Linked DNA regions of Sus scrofa. The protein of the gene in region 1 interacts with the protein of each later gene in a biochemical or structural test. Links are inferred from orthologs where the notes say so. Each region holds a gene or a part of one and is shown in the gene's direction. Other genes may lie near its edges.

What was found.
Region 2: of the proteins of PTPN6 (region 1) and LCK, one has a biochemical effect on the other in vitro, tested with the Homo sapiens proteins (4 studies listed by BioGRID and IntAct, with this or other methods). The link is inferred for Sus scrofa from reciprocal best matches to the Homo sapiens genes PTPN6 and LCK.
Region 3: the proteins of PTPN6 (region 1) and PDGFRB form a complex in vitro, tested with the Homo sapiens proteins (2 studies listed by BioGRID and IntAct, with this or other methods). The link is inferred for Sus scrofa from reciprocal best matches to the Homo sapiens genes PTPN6 and PDGFRB.
Region 4: of the proteins of PTPN6 (region 1) and ROS1, one has a biochemical effect on the other in vitro, tested with the Homo sapiens proteins (2 studies listed by BioGRID and IntAct). The link is inferred for Sus scrofa from reciprocal best matches to the Homo sapiens genes PTPN6 and ROS1.
Region 5: the proteins of PTPN6 (region 1) and PECAM1 form a complex in vitro, tested with the Homo sapiens proteins (2 studies listed by BioGRID, with this or other methods). The link is inferred for Sus scrofa from reciprocal best matches to the Homo sapiens genes PTPN6 and PECAM1.
Region 6: the proteins of PTPN6 (region 1) and LCP2 form a complex in vitro, tested with the Homo sapiens proteins (2 studies listed by BioGRID). The link is inferred for Sus scrofa from reciprocal best matches to the Homo sapiens genes PTPN6 and LCP2.

What each region holds. Positions count from the first base shown.
Region 1 is NC_010447.5:63,765,587-63,769,086, reverse strand, and holds part of PTPN6 (tyrosine-protein phosphatase non-receptor type 6), read left to right. Parts: intron 1-50; coding exon 51-167; intron 168-252; coding exon 253-366; intron 367-525; coding exon 526-622; intron 623-998; coding exon 999-1,078; intron 1,079-1,263; coding exon 1,264-1,413; intron 1,414-2,354; coding exon 2,355-2,486; intron 2,487-2,600; coding exon 2,601-2,755; intron 2,756-3,500. UniProt on the Homo sapiens protein: Tyrosine phosphatase enzyme that plays important roles in controlling immune signaling pathways and fundamental physiological processes such as hematopoiesis.
Region 2 is NC_010448.4:88,718,477-88,722,685, forward strand, and holds the start of LCK (tyrosine-protein kinase Lck), read left to right. Parts: upstream 1-1,409; 5' UTR 1,410-1,829; intron 1,830-3,732; exon of another isoform or gene 3,733-3,846; intron 3,847-4,209. UniProt on the Homo sapiens protein: Non-receptor tyrosine-protein kinase that plays an essential role in the selection and maturation of developing T-cells in the thymus and in the function of mature T-cells. Plays a key role in T-cell antigen receptor (TCR)-linked signal transduction pathways.
Region 3 is NC_010444.4:151,190,019-151,194,184, reverse strand, and holds the start of PDGFRB (platelet-derived growth factor receptor beta), read left to right. Parts: upstream 1-1,366; 5' UTR 1,367-1,973; intron 1,974-4,166. UniProt on the Homo sapiens protein: Tyrosine-protein kinase that acts as a cell-surface receptor for homodimeric PDGFB and PDGFD and for heterodimers formed by PDGFA and PDGFB, and plays an essential role in the regulation of embryonic development, cell proliferation, survival, differentiation, chemotaxis and migration.
Region 4 is NC_010443.5:44,472,378-44,475,877, forward strand, and holds part of ROS1 (proto-oncogene tyrosine-protein kinase ROS), read left to right. Parts: intron 1-254; coding exon 255-457; intron 458-2,030; coding exon 2,031-2,236; intron 2,237-3,067; coding exon 3,068-3,354; intron 3,355-3,500. UniProt on the Homo sapiens protein: Receptor tyrosine kinase (RTK) that plays a role in epithelial cell differentiation and regionalization of the proximal epididymal epithelium. NELL2 is an endogenous ligand for ROS1.
Region 5 is NC_010454.4:14,684,643-14,688,142, forward strand, and holds part of PECAM1 (platelet endothelial cell adhesion molecule), read left to right. Parts: intron 1-1,092; coding exon 1,093-1,368; intron 1,369-3,500. UniProt on the Homo sapiens protein: Cell adhesion molecule which is required for leukocyte transendothelial migration (TEM) under most inflammatory conditions.
Region 6 is NC_010458.4:53,738,474-53,741,973, forward strand, and holds the end of LCP2 (lymphocyte cytosolic protein 2), read left to right. Parts: intron 1-1,108; coding exon 1,109-1,231; 3' UTR 1,232-3,263; downstream 3,264-3,500. UniProt on the Homo sapiens protein: Adapter protein primarily involved in signaling pathways within T-cells, as well as other immune cells such as platelets, mast cells, and natural killer (NK) cells.

The sequences.
Region 1 (3,500 bases):
AAGAGGGAGACTCGGGTCCTGAGAGCTGGTCTGACTTGGTGCCCCTACAGGGTGGCCGCTACACAGTGGGGGGTCCCGAGACCTTCGACAGCCTCACGGACCTGGTGGAGCACTTCAAGAAGACGGGGATTGAGGAGGCCTCGGGCGCCTTCGTCTACCTGCGGCAGGTGAGAGGTGGGCCTGGCTGCCTCCTCCTTTGCCCCCAGCTTCCGGCTCTAGAAGCGGCTGACTTCTCGCCTTCCCCTACCCCAGCCATACTATGCCACGAGGGTGAACGCGGCTGACATCGAGAACCGGGTCTTGGAACTGAACAAGAAGCAGGAGTCAGAGGAGACAGCCAAGGCCGGCTTCTGGGAGGAGTTTGAGGTGCCTGATGGGACCAGGGGGGAAAGGGCGTGGGGTCCTCGGCAGACCCCGTCTCCTCTCTCCCACCCCGTGTACTGATCGGCCCCACGTCCTTTGCCCTCCATGGGTGCCCCCTCTAGGGGCTGGGGCTCCATGTCCCCCTTTTACCCCCCCTCCCAGAGTCTGCAGAAGCAGGAGGTGAAGAACTTGCACCAGCGGCTGGAAGGGCAGCGGCCAGAAAACAAGAGCAAGAATCGTTACAAGAACATCCTTCCATGTGAGCGCCCTGCTCCTGAGCAGCCTTCAGCCCTCCCCGCCACAGGCAGCACCCGCTCACGAGGAGAACGCTCCCCACAGCGGCCGACCTCCCCGCAGCACATAGGGTCTCCCCATACTCCCGCTCAAGGAGGCCCCCCACCCCACCCACACAATAGAACCTCCCCCCCACTTCAAAAAGCCTCTGCTCCCCGCAAAGGAGCCACCTGCGCCCCACCCTCCTCTTCCCCTGAAACCTTAATTCCCACCCCATCCAGATCCCCTACCCCTGCCTGCCCACAGTGCTCTGAGAGCTCATGGCTTCTGGGCAAGCATGGCCTGGGAGTTCAGGAAGGGTCTGATCCAGGCCCTTCTTGCTTTCTCTGCCCCACTCCCAGTCGACCACAGCCGAGTGATCCTGCAGGGACGGGACAGTAACATCCCTGGGTCTGACTACATTAACGCCAACTATGTCAAGGTTGGTGTGCCTGCTGGTCACAGGGAAGTGGGGGGGCTGGGCCCCAAGGATCCCCACCTCCCTTGCTCATGAGGTTGCTGGGTTCAGAGACATGTGGGTGACGCAAAAGCTGTCCCCGTGGGTGGCTGAGGGTGGTGGGGGTACGAGGGGCTCACGGTCCTGCACGTCTCTGCACTCACATCCAGAACAAGCTGCTAGGGCCCGATGAGAACGCTAAGACCTACATCGCCAGCCAGGGCTGCCTGGAGGCCACGGTCAACGACTTCTGGCAGATGGTGTGGCAGGAGAACACCCGTGTCATCGTCATGACCACTCGGGAGGTGGAGAAGGGCCGGGTAGGCTGAGCCCCGTGCTCCCAGTACTTATCGCCACCACTATTAAGCCAAAGAAACTTGGGGCCCCTCAGAGGGCGAGGGTCCTACCTTGTGGGAAAACTGGGGTACAAGGTCTGGGTACACCCTGACTCCCAGATCCCTGCCTCCCAGCTTGGGCTCCCCTGACCTCCAGACTCAGATTTCCAGTGGCCGCCTGCCTTTGACTGTCCCCTGCCCCACCCCGGCCTGTCCCCTCCGGGCCAGAAGCCTCTCCTCTCCTCTCAGCCTCATAATTCTTTCTGGAATTGTCCCACCCCCACCCCCAGCACACACTGCATCAGGCTGCTCCTTCTGAGAACCCCTCAGTGGCTGCCAGCTGCCTTTTGAGTGGTCACAGTCCCAGACCTGGCACTCGGGCTTGGTGGCCGCCCTCTGGCCCTCGTTGCCTCTGACCTGCCAGGCTCCTTCAGGTTTCTGTGCCTCTGCATGAGCTCCCGGCCTCTAGGAAGTGGCTTCCTCTCTCAGCATTATCTCTGCCTGACAGACTCCTCGTTCTTTGAAAACCCAGCTCAGATGCTCCCTCCTCTGGGAAGTCCTCCCTGATTTCCTCCCTTGCCTAGACAGAGAATGAGTCTCTCCTTCCACCAGGCTCCTCAGCGACTCTGGTTCCCCTGTTCCTCTGTCTCCCTGTGAGCTTCTAGAGGCACGGGCCACATCTTATGTGTGTCTGTAACACCAGCCTGGGCTGGGAAGCATCGGGGACTGTGAGTGTGCCAGCTGACGTTCACTGAGTGACCTATACGTGGCTGCTCAGGTCTCACCACCTGCGGGAGGCTGAGCCGAGGCCAGATCCTTTGTCTCTGACTCTCGGCCAGGTCACACATCAGATGCTGATGGGCCAGCACTAGGGGCTCAGGCCCTGCTTCTGTCCCTCAGTCGCCATCTCCACCCTTCCTTTTCAGAACAAATGTGTCCCGTACTGGCCAGAAGTGGGCAGTCAGCGTGTTTACGGACCCTACGCTGTCACCAACGGTGGGGAGCACGACACAGCTGAGTACAAACTCCGCACCTTACAGGTCTCCCCGCTGGCAAATGTGAGTGTCCCCTGCCCCACACCAGGACCCCCCCCTCACACCTGTTCTCTTTGGTTGGGTAGAATGAGGCCATGAGTGGGAGCAGGGGGCATTGACCCTATGTCCTCGGCCCAGGGGGACCTGGTTCGGGAGATCTGGCACTACCAGTACCTGAGCTGGCCTGACCATGGGGTCCCCAGCGAGCCTGGGGGTGTCCTCAGCTTCCTGGACCAGATCAACCAGCGGCAGGAAAGTCTGCCTCACGCAGGGCCCATCATCGTGCACTGCAGGTGAGAATAATAATAATAATAATAATAATAGTAATAATAGTCAAAGTAGTAGCTGGCAAGTAAAACTGCTAAGCGCCAGGCACTGTCATAAGCAATTGACACAGTAACTCCTTTAATGCCTCCCCCCACCCTCGCCCCCACCTGCTCTGGGTCCTGATGGCTCCAGATTCACGGGTGGAACTTAGCAGGAACCAAGCTCATGGCTTGATCCTCTGTGTGCATGTGTGTAGGTGGGTGTGGGTGTGGGTGTGGGTGTGTGTGAGCTTCCTCAGAGACTGCCCAGGATGTACCATGTGGTCCAAGCTGCCACATCCTGATGAGGAAATGGGCCCCAAAACGGTGTTTCTTCCTGGGGTCAGCGCGGCCCCCATCCCTCTCTCTTCCACCTGTAGCCCTGGGCTCCTCCATTGCTGCTCCCTGTCTTTCCCCCACTCACCAGAGACCCCGACTCGGCCCCAGGCCCATGCATCACTAGCTCCACTGGCCCTCGTGTTCATGAGCAGGAGACCCCATTCCTGCTAAGGTGGGGGGTGCTGCGGGGTCAGCGAGGAGGAGCAGGGGGTCCCGTCAGGCCTGAGGGGCAGAGTCCCGCAGACGGGCCTACTCCGCTGGCCCGGCCTGGGTGCGTGGAAGGCAGTGCGCAGGGTCCTGGACGGACGCCTCCAGCCCTTCCACCCGCTGGCTGTGTGATATTGGACACATGACGGCACTTCTCTGACCGTGTGGTTCCTCATCGGTAAAATCA
Region 2 (4,209 bases), on another chromosome or scaffold:
GTTAACGAACCCGACTAGTATCCATGAGGACGTGGGTTCAATCCCTGGCCTCGCTTAGTGGGTTAAGGATCTGGCGTTGCCGTGAGCTGTGGTATAGGTTGCAGATTTGGTTGGGATCTGGTGTTGCCGTGAGCTGTGGAGTAGGCCGGCAGCTATAGCTCCGATTTGACCCCTAGCTTGGGAACCTCCATATGCTGAGGGTGCCGCCCTAAAAAGACAAAAAAAAAAAAAAAAAAAAAGTGGAAGTGCTAATTCTCACTTCACATGGAGTTGGACATGTCTTAAGTGAGATAAAGCACAGTAAGCGCTCAAGAAACATGCACTTTGTCGTGTGCCTTGCTGCTCTCCTCAGTGCTGTGTTTGCTGTTGTGCAGAGGCCCAGCGATGGCCTGAGGTGCTCAGGTTCATGGCAAGGGGAGCTGGGGCCCCCTAAGTGTTTTTTTGTTGTGTTTTTTGTTTTTTTTTTTAACTTTGTATTTCTCAGCTTTTGTTTCTGTATTACCCCCTTTGTCTGACTTTCCAACTCAGACTTCCTCTTCCCCCCACCCATTTCCTGTCTCCCCCTTCTCTCCGCAGCTGAGGTGCATAAGCATCAGCTTCCACCTCACAAACCCCAACAATGTTTTGTGGGCTCCCCTCCCCCAACCCCTCCCTCAGTGCAGCTTCAGGCCGAGGTAACACATGTATGCCTTCCTCCCCCTTGGTAGGGTGCAGGCCCAGCTCTTGAGCCTGATAGAAGCCACTTAGCGTTCCTTCTAACACTGGTGACCAGGCCCTCGGCCACCCTGAGCCGGGCCCCAGGAGAAAGGAAGGTTGTTGGCCTGCTTGCTGCTTGTGCCACGCTCCCTGCCTCCTGCCTGTGACAAAACGATGTCCATCTGCTGCCTGCACCTGTGTGCCTGGGAAGGCATGTTTGTTCGGTCTGCCTCCTGTGGCAGGAGGTGGTGTCAGGCCCTGTGCCTCTGACACAGGCTGTGGCCGTGCCTCTATCTGGGTTAGACGGGTCCCCCTACTCTCCAGTCCTAGTTAGGGGGTGTCGCCCTGCCCTCTTCCCACAACAGAGGCTGTTACTGTGCCCCCTTTAAGACACGGGGTTGTCCTGCCTGCTTCCTTCAGCAACCCGTTGTCCAGCGTTCTTCTGTAAGAGGGGCGTTACCCTGCCCTCTGTATAGGATAGAGCTGTTGTCCTGTGCCCTGAGATGGCATGGCTATTGTTCTGCTGCTGAAACTAGCGGCAGTGTTCACCTGGTGTCTCTTTGCCTCTAACACGGATGTCTGCTCTCCAGTGATCTTGCAGGGATAGTTCCTCCCCTCTGACTCTGAAGCGATGTTACTTTTGCCCTTGAACTGTAACGAAAGGGTCACTCGGCTCTCAGACTGTGACAGCAGTGCGATTTGCCTTTCACTGAAAGCTGAGTGGGTGTCTGCTCGCCTCCTGCTCACTGGGGTTTAAAGGCTTCCCTTGAATCTCTCGTCCAGGTGCACCCTTCGGGGGCAGGAGAGATGTTCCATTAAATAGGCTTCCTCACCTCCAGGTGACACCCCGGGGATGCGTAGGACCTGGACTGGAGATGTGTAGGACCCCCAAGGGCTGAGGGGCGGGGGGCTATGGGAGCAGGAAGCTTGGGGTGCTGGAGGCTTGTGGTTGGGTTGCTGGGGCCCGGTTGGCTGCAGAGCCCTCAGGAGGAGGCAGGAAGTCAGGGTGGGACGTGGGCGCGAGGAGACAGGCGGTAGCTACAACGCCGAGGGGAGCTGAAGCTGCGTCTGGGCAGCCAGGCTAGGCCAGGAAGACCATGTGAATGGGGCCAGAGGGCTCCTGGGCTGGGCAGGTAAGGAGTCCTGGGGAAAATGGTCTAGGGGCGGGAGGGGGGCAGGGGGGCGGGGTGGGGGGCGCTGCAGCTGGGCCTGAGGCCAGGCTCCCCTGATATGGAGCAGCCCTTCAGTTTGGGGGACAGAAAATCCTGGCTGGAGGTCATGTGGGAGGCAGGCGGAGCAGCTGGACCCCCTCTTTCCTGTGTAGTTGTTGCCTCTTGCCTGTGTCACACTGCTTACCATCAATGCCCCCTCACTGGGAGCATTTTTCTTGGGGATCTATCACATAGAATGTCAGGTATCAAAAAGGCCTTCGGGAATCCCTAAATCCAGGAGTTGCCGACGTGGCCCAGCAGAAATGAATCCAACTAGGAACCATGAGGTTGTGGGTTTGATCCCTGGCCTTGCTCAGTGGGTTAAGGATCTGGTGTTGCCATGAGCTGTGGTGTAGTTCAAAGACACGGCTTGGATCTCATGTCGCTGTGGCTGTGGCGTAGGCCCGTGGCTACAGCTCCGATTCGAGCCCTAGCCTGGAAACCTCCCTATGCCGTGGGTGTGGCCCTAAAAAGCAAAAAAAAAAAAGAAATCCCTAAATCCAATCCCTCCTTCCATGTTGGATCAGAACCCGAGGCCCAGATTGGGCAATGTATTCCATCCCCAAAGTCCATCAGCGAGGCAGCAGCAGAGCCTGGTCCCCGGAGAGGTGATGACCCACCCATGGGTGTGACTCCCTACCCATGGGCAGGGTGATGATGAGGCTTGAGTCAGGGGCCCCAAGAATCCTTCTGATGGCTGGGGCAGACCCCGGTGACAAGAATCTCCTGAGAGAGAGAGAGAGTGAGTGTCACCCAGGGCATCCGTCTGGACACATGAGAAGTGATTTTAGCCTCAGTGACCAGCCTGTGTTGAGAGAGGGAGGAGTCTTCCGTTGGGAGCGGTTGGACTTGTGAGGGGATATTTATCATCTGGGATGGGGCCTCCAGGCTGCAAGTGTCTGACCTGACTCTGGGAAGTTGGGGGGGCGGTGGTGAGAGGAAGGGCTATTTTTATCCTGGACAGGAGTGCAGTTGGCCCTGGGCAAGGAACGTCTGAACTTCCATCTGGAAAGTCGCCATTCCTGGCCCTGCAGAGTATCCGCAGGATGCCCTCCCTCTTCCCTGCTCTCCCTCCCACTCCCACCCCCACCCCACTCACTGCCTGCGGAGGACCAATGGGTCCTCTGATTCCTGCTTCGAACCCCAGAAAGATGGAGGCCCAGGGAGGCAGAGTCAGCTCCCTGCCCACCCCCTCACTTTCTAGCTCTCGGCCTGCAGTTTCTTGGGTAAATCCCCACCTGAGCCAGATTTTCCAGGTTTCACCTGCCTTACCCTCCACCTTTGGAGCTTCTCTTGACGCATAGTTTCCAATGAGAGTCGGCTTATCACAGCCTTACTTTTGTCCCCAACTCCAAGGCCTGCAGCCTCTTGTGGGGGCTGGGAAGCACGCTGGCTGTCCCTACACTCAGCCAGACCCCGGACCCACACAAAGAGCTACCCCATCCCCAGCCTGTGCTGATAGATGACTCAGGGTCCTTTGCCCTTGGGGCTCAGGAACAGAGGTTCTTTCTTTTCTTTCTTCCTTCCTTTCTTCCTTTCTCCCTTCCTTCCTGCCTTCCTGCCTTCCTGCCTTTCTGCCTTTCTTCCTTTCTTTCTTTCTTTCTTTCTTTCTTTCTTTCTTTCTTTCTTTCTTTCTTTCTTTCTTTCTCTCTCTCTCTCTCTCTTCCTTTCTTTCTTTCTTTTTCTTTCTTTCTTTCTAAGGGCCTCACCCACTGCATGTGGAGGTTTGCAGGCTAGGGGTTTTATCGGAGCTACAGCTGCCAGCCTACACCACAGCTCACAGCCACACCAGATCCGAGCTGTGTCTGTGACTTTTACATTGCAGCTCATGGCAACGCCGGATCCTTAACCCACTGAGCAAGGCCAGAGACCGAACCTGGGTCCTCGTGGATACTAGTCAAGTTCTTAAGCTGCGGAACCACATCGGGGACACCCAGAGGTTCGTCTCAAAGGGAAAAAGGGCCAAGCGATGGGGCAAAGGAACAGGCAGAGGGTTCAGGGGACGGGAGAAGGCTTCCCTTAGGCAATCCAGAAGGTTTCTTGGAAGGGTCAAGGCACTTCTGAGGACAAAGGCTCATTTTACAGAGAACCTAGGACATGAAGTCAAGATTGCTGTCTCTGGTTTCTGTTCCTTGGAATCCCCTGAGGGCAGAGACCTCAGCGCAAGACCAAAAGCAAGAGAGCCAATGGTTTGGTATAAAGCAAAGGACCTCTGGTTCAGAGTCAGGCCGACCCAGGCACAATTCCGGTTCCTCCATTTCCTTGAATGGCTTCACTTCTCTGAACTGCAATTTACTTATTG
Region 3 (4,166 bases), on another chromosome or scaffold:
GCCCCGGGAGCGGGGGGGAGACAGAGGGCGGCAGGGAAGGAGCCCTGGGCAGAGTCAGGCTCTACCTGGGTGCCCGGACGCCTCTCTTCCCTCCCTGGGGCTCCGTTTCCCCGTGTGCACAGTAGTGGGGTGGGGGGGTGACTTCACTCGACTCTCTAAGCCTATTTATTTATTTATTTACTTTGTCTTAGGGCCCCACCTGCAGCATATGGAGGTTCCCGGGCTAGGGATCGAATCAGAGCTGTAGCTGCGGCCTACACCACAGCCACAGCAACGCGGGATCCGAGCCGTGTCTGCACCTACACCGCCGCTCACGGCAACGGTGGATCCTTAACCCACTGAGCAAGGCCAGGGATCGAACCCACATCCTCATGGGTACTAGTCGGATTCGTTTCCACTGAGGCCGCGACAGGAACTCCTCTCTAAGCTGTTCGCAAATGATGTCCTTAGGCCAGGAGTCTGTGCCTAGAGACGTGTTCTGACCTGAGACGCGAGAGTTCAAGGAGTGAGGGTGAGAGGCCCGGGGTTCCTGGAGGCACCCTGGCGGATCTCGGCGTGGAGGAGCAGAGGGGCCGGGAGCACGGAAAGGGCAGGTAGCCGGACGCGGAAATGCGCGAGAGGGACCCAGGAAGAAGGTGGGTGGGGGCGCCTGGTGACACTGCAGAGGGCCAGCTGTCGGCCTCAGATGGCCTGTTTCTGCTCCATCACGTCGCGCGTGAGACCCGGCTCGGCTCCGCCGTAGCTGTGACTTTGGGACACTCACTTGCGGGCTATAGTTCCTGGTCTAGACCATGAGGGATCAACCCTTTCTGGTACTCCAGGGTTTGGGGATGATGGAGGAAGGTGCCTGGAATCGGAAGCCTGCTGGGTGTCCTTAGGCGGGTCGCTCTCCCTCTCTGCTGTTCACGCCTGGGTCTCGACTTCTTCCTCTGAGGAGGGACCGGTGGCCTCAGAAGGGCTTTCTGCCTCGTCTATGTCCCCCTTTCCTGCGAAGCCCATTCCAATTCCCTCCGGCCTCGGCGAGCGCCCTCTCTCGTGCACTCTCCACTCTCAGCCCCCCGCCCTAACGAGGATGGCCGCCCACCCCTGCGCGGGGCTGAAGCACAGGAAGTGCACCCAGGTGAACCGATGGGGACTGAGTCAACCGGGTAGGTTATCGGGGCTCCCTTTGCAGACGGGAGAGCCCAGCACAGAGCAGGGACCCGCCCCCAGGCGCCACGGCGAAGGGAGGCTGCCACCGAGACAGGCAGCAGGCGAGTGGGGCCAGCCACTCTTTAATAAAAGTGACTCAGCCGCTGGCTGGCGTGGGCTGCGGAATTTCTAAACATCCCCTCACATCCTGAGCGAGCAGGCTACGGGAGGGAGCAGCAGAGGGAAAGAGGAAGAAAAACAAGAAACTTGGGGGAGAAGAGAGGGGGCTGAAAATTGAAAACAGACGCACGCGTCCACCCTCCCCGCTCCGGCCCCCTTCTCCCAGCTGAGCCAATCAGAGGCCGCCCTGCAGCCTTTCCCCCAAGGTGGGGGGGCAGCCAAGCCCACAGTGGTGTGAGCTCCCGGGGCAGCCAGCAGCCCGCAGTCCCTGCCCACCCCGTCTGGGACCCAGGACCGTTTTGTGAGCCACTTGGAGCCCGAGAGGAGGAGGGACTAGGAGGAGGGAGCCGGGCCCCCCTGACCAGCGCCACCAGGCAGCAGCCAGACCAGGGCGGCCCTTCCTGGCAGCCCGGCTGCTCCAGAAGGATGCTTTCGGAGTGAGGCCACTCCTCACCCCTGCAGCCCCCGACTCCCTCGGTTCTCCCGGGGCTCCGGGAGCCTGCAGCCGTCCTCACGGCCTCCCTGCCCGCTGCTGCCCCATTTCGGGTCCAGCAACGTCTTTCTGGTAACAGCAGAGAGTAGGCGGTGTGGAGGTCTTCCTGGAGGGGGCGGCAGCCAGAGCCCAGGACCCTGCCCACACCACAGGAGGCATCAGCAGCAAGGTAAGTGCCGGAAAGAGGAGAGAAGCCCAGCCCCTGGTCCTGTCCCCTTGTCCCAGACTGCGCCTTGTTGGGTAGGTCAAAAAATGGAAAATATTTTTAACAAAACCAGATGGGAGGTGGCCAGGAGGCTGTGAACGACCTCAGGGCCGGAGGAGCGAGCTCCCTCCTGCTCCGGCTGCTTCTGGGGTGGACGCCTCCTGCCCCAAGCAAACCCCAGAGGTTGCTGGGTGCTAAGTGGGGCAGGGGCGCCTCCAAAGCATAGAACCGCCTGCGGGAGGGGCAGGGAGAGCGGGAAGGACGTGAGAGAGGAATTGGGAGATGGCTGGCAGGGTGCGTGGACCAGGGACCTCAGACTCGCAGCCTCTGTCCCCAGGCCCAAGCCTTGTCCCTGAGAGTCTGTCTGGCTTTAGGCCAGTCAGCCGCCAGGCAACGTCTCAGGATTTAAATGGATTTGCAAATTTTCCAGATTCCTAAAGTGTCCTTCCAAACCCCCAGCGGCTGGGAAAGTGCGAAGGCGATGGGGCCACGGCAGGCCCGTCCTGGCGGTCACGTCCCGCAGCCCAGACTGGGCGTCTGGAATCCGACCGTCGGATCTGGGGGTTCCTCTCTGGAAAAGGGGGATCGGCTGTGGGGCGCTTTCCTCCAGTCCCAGGCAGCTGCTCAGGCCTCCTGGTGGTCTCCCTCCTTCTCCGCTCCCCCCAAGCCCGAATCTGATCTCTGGTTCCTTTTCTGTGCCTGTAGAAAGCCCCGGCTCCTGACAGCGGCTGCCACCACGGCCACTTGCTGTTCGCGTGGTGTGTACACGCGCGGTCCCGTGTAACGCGCACCAGCAACTCCAGAGGCAGGGTCCGGTTTTGTACCCAGTTTACGTGGGAGGAGACTGAGGCTCAGAGCAGCCACAAAGTGGTGCGGCGTGGCTGGTGGGCGGCGGAGCTGGGGAGTCAGGACGCGTCCTGCCCCACCCTCCAGGCTCGGGCTTGGTGTTCCTGCCAGTCGGATCCCAGGATCCCAGGAGGGATTTTCGCGACCCTGCCTGTGGACAGGCCCTTCGTCACCACGGCCCTTCTCCTCCAGGGACCTCCCCCCTCTGCCTCCTCCAGGCAGCCTTTCTGGGTTTACATTCTTCCAAGGCTTGCCATGCCCTTCTGTGCAGCCTTGCTGTCGCGTCTGTTGACATGGCAGGCGCCAGGCTTCCCCGTCTCGGGTTCTGGTCCCCGTGTCCCTAGGAGGGCAGTGGGGCTGGGAAAGGGTGGCCATGAGGGGAGGGACTCGCTGGAGACCGCGTGCCCCCACCCTCCTTCCGCTGCCTGCCCGGAACCTCGCGGGGATCCTTCGGATGCTTCTCTATGTCCAGGAGGGAGTCCCCTGCCTCTGCGACCGCCCTTCTAGTGACACCTCACGTCCAGCGGTCGTCCCCTGCCCTGAGCAGCAGGGCCCTGAGGCTGCGGCCCCTGGGGACCTGCTGGTTCCCGTTGTCACCTCCTCCCCTGTGCCGGGCACAGACCCTGGGCCCTCGCAGGCCTTTGGCGTCTGTGTTGTCGTGAGCCCTGCCTTGAGCACGAGGCCAGTGAGTCAGAGCAGCGCTGCGACTTTCCCAGGGTCGCACAGCCGGCAGAGGTGGCATTTAGGCCGAGGTCTGCCGGGGACCAAGGCCGTAACCCCCTGCTCCCACGGAACCCGGCCGGGCCGAGCCCTCATCCCCCCACAAGGCCTGTTCCTTCTTCCCCAGAAGGGGCAGCTTCAGGCCTGTCCTGCTTCCGGGTCCACCGGGGCCTGGTGTGTGGCGAGGGAGGAGGGCCCCGTTCAGGCCCCGTCCCGTCCCCTCCTCCGACCGCGAGCCCCTCCCTCGCCTGCCTGCGGGAAGAGGAGCTGGGGCTCTAATTGCCCACAGATGTGGGGCAGCGGGAAGCACGGAGGACTCAGAGTCAGGAGACCCGGCCCGGGCCTGGCTCCACTCCCACCCCCACCCCCAAGGGGCCAACCTCAGGCCCCCACGGCTCTTTCTTGCTGCGTCCGCATCTGGAAGGCAGCGGGCATGGTGGGGAGACCACACCAGGCTCAGGCCTCGGAGGACCGGGCACAGTCAGCAGCCCCTGTGCCCCAGCTGCTGTGCGACCCTGGGCCGGTGCTCTGCCGCTCTGGGCGCTGGGCCCTCCCCCGTGAGCCGCCGGATGGGAGCGCACGTAGATGAGG
Region 4 (3,500 bases), on another chromosome or scaffold:
TTTACAAATATAGTCTCAGGGTTACCCGAGTGCTATCTCTGAGATGAAATTAAAGTCATATGAAATAAACAATTTGTATCATCGTCAAACATGCTTAAACTTAGGCTTAGAGCATCTAGGCAGCCTTGATCAAGATGGGTGTAAAAGATGAACACAAAGGAGGCTGATGGATTTCAAAATGGCCCGATTTTGAATTAAGGGATTTTGCTAGTTATTTTTCTCGTATTTGTTAACTACTTGCTTTTTGCTTTTAGAAATCAACCCATTTCCATTCCTCATAACTCTCTTTGATAACAAGATAGTCTTGTTAGATATGGATCAAAATCGAGTTGCATGGACATTTTCAGCTGAAGGAGACTTCAGGGCCGTGGGCTACACTGCTGATGATGCAACGGGGTACTGTGCTCAATCAGACGCCCTCCTCCTTCTGAACATGCGCAATGGGTCCAGCTCTGAGGTATCTTGCTGCACCATTCTTCTGAAAGGAAGTGGAGTGTTTCCACATCACCCTGTAACTAAAACGACTGGCCAGTTGTTGAGCCATTGAGATTAGAATGGTTGAAAAGGACAGATGTTGTATAATTAATTAGTTGCAAACGAACTCAGGTTAGGTTTCTGGCAAATGTGATTCAGGCTTAATTTAGCAACAGTTATTGGGTTTAAGGAACTCTGTTACCTGAGAAAGAGATAAAAAAAGAAGTCACAGTCCTTGAACAAACCCCGTCTAGTATTAATCTCACACGAGGAAGACGGTATTGCATAGTGATTAAGAAAGTGAGCTTTGAAATCTGACGACTTAGAATTTAATTCTGACGCTACCACATGCTAGATCTGTGACCATTAACAACTTATTTAACCACTATGGTTGTGTAGTTGCTCATCATAGGGTGAAAATTAATGAGATAATCCATGTAAGTCACTTAGCACAACTCTTGGAATGTGGTAGGCATTCACTGAATGCTAGCTTGTGGAGAAGACAGGCAGAAGACAGTGTAAGTGCTTTGCTGGGGGCAGGATGCAGTGGAATTGCAGAGAATGGATGCTTATTCCAGAGTTGGGGTGGGGGGGGGCGGTTGGTGGTAAAGTAGAAAGACATCTTAGGTACAAAGATGATGAACCAGGTGAAGGTGGGGAAATGCCAAGGGAGCAGCAAGTGCAAAGAAAGGGAAACAAGAAAGCCACAGCCTTTTCAGGGACCTATAAATACAAGGAGCTTGGAATGGAAGTGGGAATAAGGGCAGAGTGAAAGGCAGATGGTAGAGCTGGAGAGGTGGAGCAGGAACCTGAATATAATGGCCTTTGTTTACTGTATTAAGGAGTTTAGTGTCAGTTTTGAAGCCAACTAGAAGCCATTCAAGAAATTCAGTGGGTCATTAACACGATCAGGTTGTGTTTTAGGAAGACCTCTGTGTTAGCAGTGTGAATAATGACTTAGAAAAAGTTAAGTCTGAGACAATCAGGAGGCCATCACAGAAATCTAGACAGGAAATGTTAGGCGTGAAATGAGAGGCAGTAAGGTGAGAGAGGAAAGGACATCTCTCTCTCTCTTTAAAATTGTGGAGATATTAAAATTGGGACTAATTCACTATGGGTAAGTAACAGGAGGAAGAAGTCAAGGATGAAATTGCTCCTTGGTGAGTATTGGAAAGCCATAAAAATATAAAATGAAGGAGGAAGGAGGTTTGGTGTGTGCGGTGATGCATCCTGTTTTCTGGGGTCATTTATTTGGACATGTTCAGTGGGCAGTTTGATATTTGAGTCAGCAATTCACTGAGAGATCTTGAAGATGTGGATTTGTAGCACTGGTCTAAGGATTACAGTTGAAGTCATAGTAGTTGAAATTAAATAGGAAAAATATATAATGTGAGAAGAGGACTAGTGTTACAAAGGCACACCATCCAGAGCTATTCAGGTTTTGGAATACAAAAGAGAAGTGTAGTAAATAAGTAATACAGGTGATAGTCAAAAACAGTCCTCATGTTTGAAGAAAATGACCACTGTCTTTTTGGCTATGTTTTCTACCTGTTAAGATTTTCAGAGACACACTGGTTTTTGATATCACAGTTATAACAATTGACTGGATTTCAAGGCACCTCTACTTTGTGCTGAAAGAATCACAAAACAGAATGCAAATATTTGATATTGATCTTGAAAACAAGGTGAAATATCCCAGGAAGCTGAAAATATGTGACAGAAATTCAACAATAATCTCTTTTTTTGTATATCCTTTTTTAAGGTATGTGAAGTGTATCTGTTTCTATTGTGATGAAATAGATACAGACATTTAATGTAATATTTTTAGTTTAATATTAAAAGTCAATGATGGGACAAGAAGATGCTTAATGTTCTTGATATTAATTTATAGTAATTCTACATACAAATGATGAGTCCACAACCACCAATATATAAAATTAATCCATACCTACACATTAATGACCAGCAGGAAACCAAAGCATATTTTTGTACCAGCGAATTTAATATTCCCAGTTTATAAGGACAGGAAGGGGACCGAGACAGTGGTAGGAAATGAGTAGGACATAGACATGTCTTGCACAGCAAATGCTATTCTGGGCTCATCCATCATTAATTAACATCCTCATGAGATGAATTTTAAGGCCTCCATTAAGCAACTGAATAGCAGCTTCTCAAGCTGGAGAGACATTTTATTTGAGCCATAAGCACGGTTATACTCTATTTTGAAAATAGATTGGTAACTAGTAGTAAGAAGCAGAAACAAACTCGAGCAAAAGGGAATGGAGATGGTGTCGATGTAGAGTATGCCAGTACGTTTCATATTTAGAGCCATTAATGAGCCATTTAATAAAATGCCTAAGGTCATTACCGTCCAAAGCTTTTGTTGTAAACACATTTACTGAGAAATTGTTGCAAAATGCTACAAACTAGACTTCTCATGACCTCTTCCATCAGGTTCTCAAACACTGGGACATGTTCTCTCCAAAGGTTGCATTTGTCCCCATAAGCATTAGAAATAACTGATCATCATGAGAAATTGATATTTGTAATATGTTTTACTCGTTAAATTGGAAGGTCTTTTTTTTTCCTATAGTCGTCTATATTGGACAGAGGTTTCTGATTTTGGATCTCAGATGTTCTACTACAGTATTATCAACCAGACTTTGCATCGAGTTCTACAACCCACAGCCATAACCCGTGCGCGTGGAAGGAGCCAATGTTCTTGCAATGTGACTGAATTTGAATTAGGTGGAGCAATGACTATTGATACCTCTGACCTAAAGAAACCACGAATATATTTTGTCAAAGGGCAAGAGATCTGGGCCATGGATCTGGAAGGATGTCAGTGTTGGCAAGTGATCATCATGCCTGCTCTGCTTGGTAAGACACTTTGTGTGTGTGTGTGTGTGTGTGTGTGTGTGTGCACGCGTGCGTGCACATAGTCATTAGTAATGGCAGCACCTCCAGTCCTGTTGAAAAGGGGTTACATTCAACCTATACTCAGAAGTAAATATATATAACATGTA
Region 5 (3,500 bases), on another chromosome or scaffold:
AACCTTTAGTTATTAAGGTACCCCAGAGTATCCTAAAAGATGCCCTTTCTTTTTTATGACCTTTACGCAGGAAAACAGACTTTTTAAAAAAATGATAATTTTTTATTGTGAATTTAAGTGATTTACAGTTTAAAAAGAATATTAAATATTGTATCACTCTATATTCACTTTGACATTTTTTAATGTCCTTATCTGTATTTTACATGATTGTAATTTGTGTATATACTCTCATACGCTCTGCTGTTTTTTTGGCAAGCACAAAGGCCTAGCCCTACTTCCCTCACATCCGCTGAAGATCCACACCCTGATATCTGGCCCATATTTTATTAAAACGGTTTTTCAAACCACGTGAATCATGAAATCAGTTTAGTCAATTATAACCAGTTATTTCGTTTTGTTTTGTTTGCTTTTTAAAGCACCCACAGCCTATGGACGTTCCCAGGCTAGGGGTCAAATCAGAGCTGTGGCTGCCGGCCTACAGCACAGGTCACAGCAACGCCGGATCCTTAACCCACTGAGCAAGACCAGGGATCGAACCTGTGTCCTCACAGATACTAGTCAGATTCTTAACCTGGTGAGCCACAACAGGAACTCCCATAACCAGTATTTTTTAAAAAGAGATAGAATAGACTAGAAATCACTTTGGGAGGCATGTGATCATTTAAATATGCATTTCCATGAAGCTGCACTCTGGAAAGCTATAGAATATCTAGGCTGAAATGCCAGAGAGTCCATGGAACGGTGTGAGAATTACCTAGAAAATCCTTGATGTGTGGCAGGGAAAGAGTCTGTTTCGACTGCTGTGATTATTTCTGAGGTCATTTGAAGAAGGTCTAGGGAAGATGGTTTGGTCTTTGGGAAGCTCAAGAAAGAGAGCATTGAAGTTAAAAAGAAGGCCGAGGATGCAAGAGTGAGCAAGAAGAGGGGGGAGCCTTGGAGCCGCCCATGAAGGTTTTTGAGAGGGAAGGTTGAGTCTTTTTAATTAATAAGGAAAAACTGGTTGACATCCAAAAGAAGAGAAAGCGGGAGGACGTGCTTTTTCCCTCCCGCAGGTCTGAACCTGAGTCCAACCAGCTTGTCCTCTTCCCGTAGAATCCTTCTCTAATCCCAAGTTCCACATCAGCCCCAAGGGAGTGATCATAGAAGGGGATCAGCTCCTCATCAAGTGCACCATTCAAGTGACACACCAGGCCCAGTCATTCCCGGAAATCATAATCCAGAAGGACAAGGAGATCGTGGCGCACAGCAGGAACGGCAGCGAGGCCGTGTACTCAGTGATGGCCACGGTGGAGCACAACAGCAACTACACGTGCAAAGTGGAAGCCAGCCGCATTTCCAAAGTCAGCAGCATCATGGTCAACATAACAGGTGAGGCTGCCGCTGGAGGGTGTCGGCCTACGGCGGGCTGCAGAAGCCGCTGTGCTGCAATCCCGGGTGGGCAGTGAGAGCTGAGAGATACTTCTGCTCCTGTTGGCCTGAAGGGATGTGCCTGGGCCGGGCTGGGGCGCTCGTGGGGAAAAGTCAGTGCAGAGCAAGTAAGCAGTTAGCTGTGGTGGTAGCAGGTGCAGGCTGTGGCCTCAGTGGCCAGCCTGGCCACTCAGTGACCTTGGGTGAGTTACTGACCCTCTCCTTGTCACAACTCTGAGATGGGGGTAATGACACCACTGTAGGACTGTCACAGGGGCTGAATGGCATCACTGTGCCACAAAGAGCCTCATACAGAGTAAGCCCTCAGTGATGGTTATCTGATGTTTCTGTTATTATGTCACAGTTCTCTTTCCTCTGTGCCAAGTACTGTCCGGATCCCTCCATCCCATTTCGGGCCCCATGGCAGGGTCAGGAGTGAGAAAGCATTACTAGGAGTTCCCATCGTGGCTCAGTGGTTAGTGAACCCGCCTAGGATCCATGAGGATGCAGGTTCCACCCCTGGCCTCACTCAGTGGGTTAAGGATCCAGCGTTGCCGTGAGCTGTGGTGTAGGTCACAGACGCGGTGTGGATCCCAAGTCGCTGTGGCTCTGGTGGAGGCCAGCGGCTACAGTTCCAATTGGACCCCTAGCCTGGGAACATCCATATGCCACAGATGCGGCCCTAAAAAGACAAGACAAAAAAAAAAAAAAAAAGAAAGAAAGAAAGAAAGCATTACTAAACTCAAAAATCATAGTAATAGATCCTCTTTGTGGAACACTATATGCCTGGTTTACATACATTTTCATTTCAAACTCAACTCTGTAAGAACGTAGGTATTATGAATCTGGTTTTAGGGATGTGGAAACTGAAGCTGAGAAGAACCCAACAATTGCAGGGTTACCAAGTGGCAGAGCAAGAGTCACCCCCAGAGCCTGTTAGATTTCCAAGCCCTCGTACTTGCAAGTTCCCTTGAACGCCTTCCTCCTTTACCTGGCTTTACTTTTCAACACAGCACTTATCACAAAAAAACGTACTCTACCTCCTCCTGTGTATTGTCTGTATGCGGCCCTCAAAAGTAAGCCGATAACAGAACAAAGGGTGGGGGAAAAAATGTGATTGTAATGTATACATGTAAGGATAACCTGACCCTCTTGCTGTACAGTGGGGAAATAAAAAAAAAAAAATCCAGAAATAGAACCACACACAAAAAAAAGTAAGCCGATAAGGGCAGGGGCATTATCTCTTTTATCCAGGGCTATATCCTTAACACCTGGAGCACAGGTGTCTGCACTTAGTAGGAATTCAGTACATATTTCCTGGGTGGATGGATGAGCATTGGACGACGGTGTTTCAGAGGACAGAGAGAATCAGCACTTTTGGTTCCCCAATGAAAGTGTTCATTCATTCATCATGGATTCACTCGTTTACTGAAAGCCTCCCCCGTGTTAAGCATTGAGTATATGGTCACAGGGACAATCCCCAGTGTCATAGGTAGGCTGCCAATGACCCAGCTGGGTGACTGGCATGTGATGGATCCAGCTGGTCTACACCAGGTCGGATCCTGCTAGCAATTTAGTTTTTTTGTTGTTGTTGTTTGTTTTTTAATTTTTTTTCCTTTTTAGAGCCGCACACGTGGCACATGGAGGTTCCCAGGCTAGGGGTCAAATCGGAGCTACAGCTGCTGGCCTAGACCATAGCCACAGCAACGTGGGATCCCAGCTGTGTCTGCGACCTACACCACAGTGCACAGCAACACCGGATCCTCAACCCACTGAGCAAGGCCAGGGATCAAACCCTCAACCTTGTGGTTCCTAGTCAGATTCATTTCCGCTGCACCACGAAAGGAACCCCTGAACGTTCAGGTGCTTGAACCTCCTGCCAGGCCTTCCGTAGGCTGCCCCCGCCCTGTGCCACTTTCCCTCATTGCCTGAATAACGACCTCCAAGGCTTCTTTCCTGATTCTTCGAGCCTGGGTTCAAGGTTACCTCTATGGGCTCTACTGCAAACACTACCTGAATCCCCTCTAGACTTAAACCCTTCTAGAGGGTAATTAAAGACTGTTTCTTTTCCACTGCTGTCTCCCTCCTCTGCT
Region 6 (3,500 bases), on another chromosome or scaffold:
ACATTTTCCTGTCTTTCGCCAAAGTTTACGCTAGTCACTTTTTGGGTGGTAATCAGGACTGGTGTGAAGGAAACCTTTCAGGGCTGCTTTTTTAAGCTACAACTAAACTGAATACCCCAAACATATTCTTTAAGCTCAACGTTCCAGGAGGAGAAGCAGCTGAATCAAACATTTCCAGAATGAGAAGCAACTTAGCCATAACTTCCACTTCACTCCAAATAGTTTTAAGTTATGATAATATAGATGAGTAGAAAAAAAGTCCACATGACTTTGGCCATATGTTTGAATCACTGGTTCCATCTGGGTAGAGCTGCACCAGTCCTATAGAAGCAGAGACATCTGCCCTCCAGGATGTCTACTGGTCTAGTGGGAACACAAATACAAACCACAGATTGCAGCTGCCCTGGAGGGCAGCACCTAGCCGGGCAGTCTTGGGGGCAGCGCATAAATCTAAAGTACCTAGGAGACTTCTGACCCACATCCAGATGGATGGATGGGGATTTTCCAATCTAGCCATCAGTGATAGGGTGATCCAGGTAATGAATGCAAAGACTTGCTTCAGAGCTCTGGTGAAGGTGGCAGTTGGGGACACAGCAGAGATCATGAAGGAAATGGTATGACCTGCTACCGAGATCATCTTCCAACACAAACACCAGGGATGCTGTCTGACTTGAACTCCTTAGACTTTCTGACGTTATTAATGATTCAGAGTAAAGCAGGGATACACAAACCAAAACCAAACCACAAATGAAACAACCCTAAGGTAAGGCTATCAGGATTAGACTCCCTGCCCTCATATATATACATATAAATATAAATATATATATGTATATATATATATATAGCCTGCCATATGAAGTTAAATATACATACACACACATAAATACACATTTGCTTTAACCCATGTTGGTGAGGAATTAGTTTTTCAAAGGTCCGCAGTAGAAATCATTAAGCTATTTGCCAAATTTTACACACACACCACACATAAATATTCCCATAATCCTCACATTTCAAGAGGTAGAGTATTATGCAGATTTTAAAAATGAGAGTGAAATTCCTGCTACCCATATTCCAATGTTGATTTATCTCCCTATTTTAAACCTTTCAGGACTTTCTGTCTGTGTCAGATATTATTGACTACTTTAGGAAAATGCCGCTTCTACTCATTGATGGAAAAAACCGAGGTTCCAGATACCAGTGCACGTTAACCTATGCTGCAACTTATCCCTAGCAAGCCAGCCAAGCAAAGGAACCTTACTCCTGCCTCTGATGCCAGCATGGGAAGATCAGTCAACTGTGGTAAACCATCAGACACTTGGGACTGAATTGAACCCCTTAACATGAAGAGTTTTGTCCTTTTGCTTAAAAAGTGTTTGAAATGAAGACTGTCAGATATCCCATAATTTATTTATTCTTCTTCAATGTTTATAAAATGCATGAGTAATAATGTTCACACTTGAAGTGGAGTAGGGCACTGTAATAATTCATTTTTAAAAGATACGTATTTGTGAATACCCATTTCCAAGTACATTAGTTTGCCCAGCTACACAAACAATATGGGGCAAGCTGAGCAACACTGAAATGGTAATAATTTTGGTAACACATTAAAAACTGAATTTTTTAAAATAGGCACTCCTTTGTCAAAGGCAATCATCAGTTTTATATGCACAATTTGAAACTTACTAAAATTCAGTTTCTAGGCAGCAATAATTTAAGAAGCTTCCAAAACATTTCATCCTTTCTTATTTGTTTTTTTTTTTTTTTTTTTTGCTGGGGGGATTTTTGTGTACTTTTTTATGAAAAAGATAAATGCATGTCAGGATAACTCCCTGGAATTAAAATTAATTTGCCTTTTGCTTCACTTTTGAGTTCCTAAGACAACTTTATTGACTTTACTTAGTTCTTACTTTTTTATTTGTTTTAAATCAAATTTAAGATACAAATGCCCAAAGAAAACATTTTAAATTTAGAAATGAGGCTTTGGTGTCAAATTTAAGTTCATCACATCCAACACCCACATCCTACCTCCACTCCACCCCCCCCAACCAAATCCAAAAGCATCATCAAGTGAAATAGATTTTACTGAAGTCTTCCCAGGAAAATGAAAGAACAATGCATGTATACATGGAAAAATCTGATCAGACTTTCCAATTAGATAGGTTTTTTTTTTCCTGACAACTGTAATAAAGCCCTTCTCTTCATCCATTCCCAAGAGGCTTTATAAATTCTTCAAAGCAATTCAGTTCTTTCCTTCAACATTCATATCTCACTTAAAAAAAAGTAGGCATGTCACACAATGAAAACCTCACATTCAGTTAAGTTTTCCCTTTTGAGGCCTGGGTTGTTATTCCACAACTTTTATTAACAATAAAAATGTATGGCTTCTCTGTTTAGTATATAAAATTTCTAAGTCACAAAGATTCTTGTCTTCAATTTCATGAGATAAGAGAAAGAACACTGGGGAGTTCCTGCCGTGGCTCAGTGGTTAATGAATCTGACTAGGAACCCTGAGGTTTTGGGTTCGATCCCTGGCCTCACTCAGTAGGTTAAGGATCTGGTGTTGCCGTAAGCTGTGGTGTAGGTCGCAGATGTGGCTCGGATCTGGCATTGCTGTGGCTCTGGCGTAGGCCGGCAGCTACAGCTCCGATTAGGCCCCTAGCCTGGGAACCTCCATATGCCACAGGTGCGGCCCTAGAAAAGACCTCCCCCCCAAAAAAAAAAGAACATCAGAAGGGATCTTGGAAGTCATCTAGTTAAAACTGACAACTTGCTAAAATAAGTATGTAGAGACTTTTAACCACTGACAATTAAAATGATGCTTCACAAACGTCATCCTTACAAACCAGAAGTTCTCAATTCAGGGTTCAGAACTCAGGAATTCTAAAGCTGAAAAACTTTCATTCATTTACATGTTTATTCAAGAGGATATTCGACAAGCATTGACTCCATGCCTATTCTGTGCTAAACACTGAGCTAGGTGCTGGGCAATGAGGCTAGAACTGCGATGGAGGGAGCTGACCTTGTGTCTTGCTTTGTGGTATTACATACCTTATGTTTAAAAATATTTAAAATGAAGGACATGGCAGATTTCAAGCAACTATTTGGTAGTGGATTATGTTTAAAAAATAAATAAAGATTATTATTTTAAATTTCTGTTGGCAGAAAGAGACAGAAATTAGCAACTTTTAGGACACAGGTGTCCTAAAAATAAAACCTATTCCACTCCAATGATTGAAATAAATGATGAATATCTGATGTTTGAATGACTAGCATTCTTTCTCCCCTTCTTTGGGCCATGGCAACTCTGTTCTTTTGATGCGGCATCTCTTTTGGCTACAGACCTGGCATATGATCCCAGTCTCACCAAACATAGTTGCTCAAGACCCATCTTAATCAAAGCTGGGCCAATCAGGATCTTTCTCTGGAATGTTAAACACAGAGGCTGAGACAAAGGATCTCTCTTTTCTCTGGGGTCCCCCAAAGGTAATGCTGAACATCTG